Drosophila melanogaster: one gene and its partner. The protein of the gene in region 2 interacts with the protein of the main gene of each other region in a pairwise test. Each region holds a gene or a part of one and is shown on either strand. Other genes may lie near its edges.

The links. Proteins that work in one complex are often made in the same cells at the same time.
Region 1: the proteins of CG5386 (region 2) and dpr17 interact in a two-hybrid assay, tested with the Drosophila melanogaster proteins (one large-scale study listed by BioGRID).

The regions. Positions count from the first base shown.
Region 1 is NT_033777.3:12,093,259-12,097,911, forward strand, and holds the start of dpr17 (defective proboscis extension response 17), read left to right. Parts: upstream 1-1,617; 5' UTR 1,618-2,042; intron 2,043-2,371; exon of another isoform or gene 2,372-2,790; 5' UTR 2,791-3,418; coding exon 3,419-3,758; intron 3,759-4,653.
Region 2 is NT_033777.3:22,340,727-22,344,072, forward strand, and holds CG5386 (uncharacterized protein), read right to left. Parts: upstream 1,526-3,346; 5' UTR 1,489-1,525; coding exon 1,403-1,488; intron 1,312-1,402; coding exon 814-1,311; intron 745-813; coding exon 564-744; 3' UTR 510-563; downstream 1-509.

The sequences.
Region 1 (4,653 bases), about 10 Mb from region 2:
TTAGCAGCTTTTGGTTTTTGTTGCCTGGCTTTTGGCTTCGATAACTGGCGCAACTGTTCACTGTTTTCACTGGCTCAAAGGCGACATAAAGTATATTTTGATTATTTTGTGAGCCAGAAGTTGAGCATTTTAAGGCCCGCCGGCATTTGCATTTCAAATATACTTTTACGACAGCCAGCCAGCCCCTTAGCCTTTGGCCCGCATCCCGCCCGACACCTTCCGCCGCAGGATCTTTTGCTGCGGGCGAGACGAGGTGAGCCACATGGAAGTGGAAGTGAGTGAAATACCACAAATGGCGTGTAAACACAACAAAGAGGTAATAACAATGGATGCCAACGAGGTCCCTGACTTCAAGGACCAATGGAAGGGCGGCAAAAGTAGCCGAGGGGAACTCGTCCGCATTCCTGGAGCCTTTGGGAGGAGTTCTTTACGCAGCGCAGGGGGGGATGGGGGGATGGACTTTGGCACCAAGCGCACCCGCACTTTCGAAAACATTTTTATTTGTTTCTCCGTAAGCTGTGTCAATACACAATAAATTGAACTGAGCAGGAATTTATGTTGGTCCTGTGTGAGGATATTCAGCACCCTATCTGCCCGCTGGCTCTGTTATCGCACTGGGGCGTCAATTGCCTGTAGGCCACCGCCCCCTGGGGACTTAAAAGTTCAATAATATTTATTTGTTACTTGCTCTTTGACAACAAAGCACACGAGATTATACTTAGTCCTAGGCCGTCGTTCATCAAGCCGCGCATATTGGCCCACTCCATTCTACATAATGGCATATTGTCGCACAATACCCGAGACCACAGATATGTCTTCGCCGGGGCAGTAAATTCCGGCCACTAAAGGCGATGATTTTTCAACAGACACCGAGCTAATTTAGTGACCGAATGCCAACGCGGTCACCACCGTGATTTACGGGGTCACCATTTGCACGACTCCAATTATTTGTTGGTTGCCTCGTGACTTTAACCTTAGAGAAAAGTGCTGAAGAACGGATGAGTATATTTCAGCTTAGATTAATGTCAAAATAAAGCTAACACTCGGTTTAAGAGGGAATAGAAATTAACTGCTTAAAATATATATTATATTTTAGGTCGGTTACAAACTGCTAACTCTTAAACTCTTTCATTTTAAAATTGAATAGCTACGAGATTTATATATTCCATGTATCAATCTTTATACCATTTTTAAGAGGCGTCAATTCATATTTTACATCATGGTCGATTTTTGGTGGCGTCGAGCGAACCAATTGATATTCATGTGCGACTAAAATAGGCATTTGTCCGGCGGAAACAAGTGTTTTGTTGGTCATCTACAAATGGCATCCGCGGAATAAAAAATAAATCTTCAATCTTCTGTTGCCAAAGCAGTATTAGCGCGCAGGCGCGAACAAACAGCCGGCAAATAACCCGACGGTTCGATTCCGAAAATTCAGTGCAACCAGAGGGATGTGAACGGCACAAAGCTGGGGAAGTTGGAAACGAACCGGTATGCCACATGAAACAGAGGAGAATCCGATGTGGAACGCTCGACGGAATGGCTATGAATCGGCACTATCCGCCTCGGAATGTTAAGAACTCGATGGGAAGTGGGATGGCGTCGCTCGAACGCGACTCAGTCGAAAATTTGAATCCGGTTCGCGCGGACGTGACTCGGATGGTGGAAGGAAACCCAGACCGCAAACGAAACCGCAACCAGAAGTCAATTTTACGCGTTTATGTCTGAAAGGGACTTGTGCTGAAGAGGCGGGAGTTAGGAAAACAAAATGTGACAACAGAAACGAAGAAAAAAGTTAATGGAAAGTGGCAAAGAAAGAAAAGAAGAATTAAGACAAAGTTAAACCACTTGATGTCCTCTTGGGTGTCCTGTGTCCCGTGTCCTGCAGTGCCGCCTGTCGAGTGTCTTTTGCCGAAATCACTTTTAAAATTTGTTTGCTCCCGCCTTATGCAAATGGATATTAGAATGCCGCGCTGAATTGCGAAGCCGAGGAACAAAAACAGGACCGAAGAAAACAGAGGATTTCTCCAAGGACGCGTAACGTAAAAAAGGGATTATTGTGCATCATTTTGGGCAGCAAGAATAATGCCAAGGAGGGCGAAATAAAAAATATTCTCAAGTCGGATTATGCGATAAATTGTTACTGAAGTGTAAATGTTTTCTCACGTGTTAAATCATTAAATATAAGCCACCCAAGCTGCACACAATTCGTTTAGAGCCCGGCCATATGGCCATTGTTACCTTTTGCCACCGACCTAAAACTCAAAGAAAGCCCATCGAAAGGCAATGTGAAACTTGTTAAACACTATAAATGGTCGAAGTTTTTAAGGTTTTTTTTTGTGCGAAAAGTTTTGGCCATTAGTCATCGAGAACATTGTGTGATAGTTCTGCATGAAAGCCGTGCAAGTTATTAACTTTTAAGAAAGTGAGCCGGGAACCAAGAAAAAGGAAATTCTATGTAATTAATTGCAAAACGATTATGAAAGTTTAAGTGGAAATAAGTTGATTTATATTTCTTGGCAAGTTCGAGCACTTGACTTTTCCATTGATTGAGCTGTTGAAGTAAAACTTCAAGATGTAGAAATATGTTTTCAAAAGTTTTGTTACCATGCAGAAGTGTTAACTCTGTTCAGATTAGTTTTTAAAGAAATACCATTTTTAATGGTAAGGTTATATTTTATTCTTGTTTTAAATACGTATTTTTCTTCACGTGCTTTTAATACTCAATTATATGGTATCCCAAAACCACTTTTACAATCACAATAAAATCGTATGCAAACAACATTTTAGGTAAATGTAGTTATTAGGGATTAAACGGATTTGTGCTGTTCAACAAAATAAGTTTTGGAAGAGACCAAAAAGCTAAATAAACAAATTGGATTACCATGGAATAAAGTCGAGTTCCGATGCCAGTTTATTTGTCTATGCTGGTGCCACTGCATCGCCAATAAAAGTTTGCCACTCAACAAAGGCGAAAACACTTAAATAAATATATAAATCAAGCAACACAAAAATTGTGCAAAACCAAGTGCAGAGACCGAGTAAGCCAACAATGGGTTTGCACGAAAATCGCTTGAGAAAACGCATCGAAAAACTTGTGGCCGACCCATAAAGAAGAATTGCAATTTTTTGTCGAAAGCTAGAAATAAAATCAAATGAAATAAAATAAAATAAAATGAAACAGTATAGAGGTTAGATAGAACCCAAATGGAGGCAAGCCAGGACCCAAGCCAGCCCCAAGTGTATTAATTCAATAAACCTATTTATCTGAGACTTCGACTGGGATTTCGAGAACGGAGCAGAGAATGCGACAAAGTTTGCCAGCCAAGACGGCGCAGTGCAATCAGCAGATCCTGTCTGTCCTGGTCCTGGCCCTCGCCCTGGTCTTGGTCCTAAGGAGCACGAGAAGCCAGATTCGATGCCGCAAACGAGTCCCAATTGGAGGCAGGCGGACAATGAGCGCACAAAAGGCGCTGTAAGTGTCATTGCAGCCAGGAACTGGGCCACTGGGACTGCCACGCAGGACTGGAGCCAGAAGAGCAGCAGTAGCTGGAGCAGCACCAGTCGAAGAACCGGAATCAGCAGAACCAGGACCAGGCCAGCCACGTTGACAACCGAGATGACAGTGGCAGGACGAGCAGAACGAGCAGGAGTAGGAGCGCCGTGGTGTCGCCGATTTTTCCATACATCCCCACTAGCGTCTTGGCTACGCATCAGCTTCGTCCTTTTGGTCCTTCCAGCTCTCGGCTTTGGGATACGTAAGTACAGCTGGGGGGTTTCCCTCACTCCTTGCGTGTGCGTGTGACTTTCATACATTTTTGATTTAATTTAACGCATTCACGTCGCACACTCTAACACACAGTTAACTGGGGATGGAGTCCTATGAACGGGTGGAATACACTTTAGGATTTGATATTCCCTAGTGTTAAACCAGATCCCTCTCTTTGCAAAGGTATCAAATCAGGAAAATGCAGTTTTTACATTTCTTCCTAAATGCACTTTTGTATTTAAACCTTAAATCATGCCTCGTAAAACTAGGAAAACAGCGACATCCTTTCAGTGCATTATGTTCTCCTGTTGTTCTGCCAGATTAACAGGATAAGTATCTCCAACTCCTCGTTTCCTTATTTATTCGGGTACCGGGTGAAAAATCTTATGCGCACTTGGCAACACACACATGGATAATTGTCCTCGTAAGCGGATCCCAAGACGCGAAATAGCTGCTGGCAAATTGTTTTAGTAGTTCTGGATCAGCTGGGGGAGTGGAGGCAAGGAAATTGTCGTTCTTTGAAATTGCGGAGGATGAAACTGGGGGCTGAGCTTCCCGTTGTTTCATTTGATTTGCCGAAATTAGATTAGAAGAAGCCACGGGGCTAGCGAAATGGGAAAACAATGGCCCATAAAAGATGACAAAAAGTTGTGCGGCATTGCGGAGCGATTCCTTATATAGGGGTTCTTCTGGTAATTCTATTTAATAAATAATTTAATTCGAATTTTCCACGTAATTAAGATAACTTCCTTGTGCACAGTGACTAGTTAATATAATTTATTCTGACCCGTAATAAGCACTTGAAGATGAAATATTGAGAAATATGCTAATTATATCGATAGATAGTGTCATTTTTATTCAAGCTAGATATATGTACTTGAAAA
Region 2 (3,346 bases):
TCACACAGACGCCCCACAATTTGCGAGTCGCACTCAACGTGAAGTGTTTTGTGCGGTTTTTTCGTGTTGCATGTTTTATATTCGTACACATATATTTTTAGAAATTGTTTTTAGTTGAATGTTTTACTTTTATGCTGAGTTCGGTGACAGCTCGAAACGAGTCCTGGTGGGCGGAGGTCCTGCTAGGCCGGAGCAGGCACGCTGACAAATAAGTCTCATACGTATTGTTCGAGTTCTTTCTGGGCTTTGGGAGATTGGAAGCCAAATCTGGTTACGGATTAGAAAAAAAAATTCTAGAAAAATCTAGAATCTGTTACATCTGTTTATTCAAGGTTATTCAAAATCCTCGAATTTAATAAAGATATTTTCAAAAAAGCCAGTTCACTTTTTTTGCAGTAACTGACACAGCTGCTGCTCTCACATGAATGAATATTGAGTACACACACACACATGTGCACGGCAACCAATACACCCATGCGATCGGCCGCCCCAAAAGTATGCAACACTTTGCCCGACTCTCTATGCGCATCTTTATTAATTATGCCAGCGATTTAATTAAAAACTTAACCAGCTGTCGCCTTGAGCGCCGCAGCACTGAGCAAGGGGATCGTCTCCTGGCCACCCGAAGGAGGCGGACATAGCGCGGGGGGCGTGGCTTTGGGGCTGGCAGGAGCGGCAACTTCCGACGGATTCCTGCCGAGTTGGCAACTTGCTGGCGCTGCAGTTGCCGCAGATGGGTATGGGCTAATTAAAATGCATTGTTTAATGCAAATAATGGATTATATAAGTTGGTAGTTTTCAGTGTTTACTTACGGCGGGTGGCTCTCGACTCGTGGCGCCCAAACGGCTGCAGCTGCGGCTGGCGGCGCCTTAACGACTTTTGGCCCGACTCCTCCATATTGTTGTGCCGTCTGAATTGGCTTTGGCTGGAGACGCAGTTGCTGGCCTGGTTGTTCAGGTTGCACATTGACGCCATTGAACCCGGCCAATATTTGAGGTGGTTGACCCGCGGCGTTTTCATAAACAAAAAAGTGTTGCCCCTGTTCCTGTTGCGGTTGATTTGTGGCCTGTTGTTGCTGCCATTTTGGTTGCTGTTGTTGGTAGTGTTGCTGCTGCTGCTGCCGTGGCTGCTGATGTTTCTGCTGCTGCTGTGGCTGCTGCCAATTTGGCACAGTTTGGCCCAGTAACTCGTGCAACAATGGCGCCAACGCTTCGCTGCCCGTGATTTGTTGCAGATGCTGCTGGAGCGCGGCTTCCTCAATCTTCTGTCCCTCCGCCCGATTGATGCTCAGGATGCCGGTGTTGTGGTGCCTGTAAGCAAATAGTTTGCTCAATAGATTGACCCGCTAACCACCACCCACACACTGGGCGAGATTCATTCCAGCACATTCACACGACCTACTTTGTCAGCGGCTGTGCAAATGTTTGCGAAACAACTCCCAAACAAACCAGCGGCAAGTGGAGCAGAACGAGCCAATTTGGATACATATTTAAAGACTTATTAGTGCCAGAGACCTTCCACTCGAAACTCTCGGTGAGAACTAACTCCGGCTAACTAACTTCACACATCAAATATTCTCCGATGCCATGGATTCTAATTGGGAGATGCTTGCTTTTGCCTAGGCATTCGATTAGGTTTCTTGTTTTCGGGCATTAATTATTTCGAAGCTAATTATACATGCACATTAATATGCAAATATTATGAAGTGTGAACATTTTGATGTGCCCCATTGGTTTCGGTATGATAATTACCAGTTCGGCTTTACAGATCCAACTGGAGGCCCGACAGCGGTTCTCGATTGAGTGGATCTCAATTAGCCGGCTACAAAAAATATGACTAGCTAATTGGCTTAATCAAATAGTAAAAATAAGCTAATAGAAACTAAATAGTAACGTTATACCTCTCTTAAATTGATTAGAATACATTTATTCATCTAAATAGTTTACTTCTTATTGGTAAAGTTTAATATTTTAGCTTTAATAAGAAATATGTTTTTTATAATAAGCTGCCTTTCAGCTGCTGTAAATGCCTCCATAAGTTATATGATTATGTGCTTTCAACAAAAAGGGCTCTTAAACTCAAATCCATAAAACTACGCTTCTCAAACTGTTGCATTAACATACGAGCCATTTCAAAGAGGTGGCCATAAATCCAAGCTAAAATGTCAACCGTCTGGCAGTGACTGTCAAACTGTAAAGTGGCCCTTGGCTTCAGCTCCCATTTTCCGCTCTCCGTGGATGTGTGGCAAAATGTTTTTCCATTAAATTACAATTCCCCTTCTCGGAAAATACCCCCTCCCCTCTACCCCCTCATCATCGGCGGCCTTCGTCGACCAGCAAAGTCATGAAATTTAGTGTTGGCGGCATAATTAGACCATCAATTGCGGAAAACTCATGACAGTCATGAATGGCCGACTGTGTGCATGTGCCTGTGTTGGTGGGCCAAAACCACATGGGCGGGGGGCGTGGCCAGGGGCCTAGGCACACTCTGGAATAAAGTAATATGTGCTCCAAGCATAAACTCATCAGAGTCGGAAAAGCTGACAGAGATGAGAGGACGGCAACAGCAACAAGAGCAGCGCCAACATTACACAGTAAAAAGCAACTTAATTAAAATATCAGTTGAACATCATAATAAACAAGATAGTTTCTATCGAAATATTTGATATATTAAAACCTAAGTAGATGATCAAATGCGAGTTCATAGAATAGAGTAGTAGTATAAACTATTACATACAATTTGAATATTTATTCCAGTGAAGCAATGGCAGCCACAAAGGGCGGCCTGAATTTCAACGATGGACGGGACTGTTGCACACAGAGGCAACAACAACTGGCTGGACTTCAGCAACGATGGCCACAATAAAGTCGGAATGTAAAGCACAAATGCTACTTTGGTTGCTCATAAATATTCACTGGAATGTATTCGTCCTCCTCCGCATTTAGCCGTTGTCCTTGTGGCTTCGCTTTCATTTTCCACCGCTTTTCGGCCGAAAGGCGCAAAAGTGTGAAATGGCCGAGTACGAGAGTGTTCATATATATATATATTTTCTATTTTTATGACGATTTTTCGGTGACTGTTTTAGCCAGCCGAGTGTGAAAGTTAAGCACATAAATTACAGGCGAGCGCCGCCATAGGAATTAAAAGCACCGTGCACAGTGGCCGAAAAACCAGAAAACACTTAAAATATGGCAACAACCGCTCACCCGGGAATCCACCTCTTTGCAGCCACACAGCAGAGGGAAGAAAAACGGGTTCAAACGAATAGTTTGAACTTCTTTAAAGATTCTAATCCAATTTAACAATTTATGCAATATATACTCATTTAGACTTTTAATCTTTGAT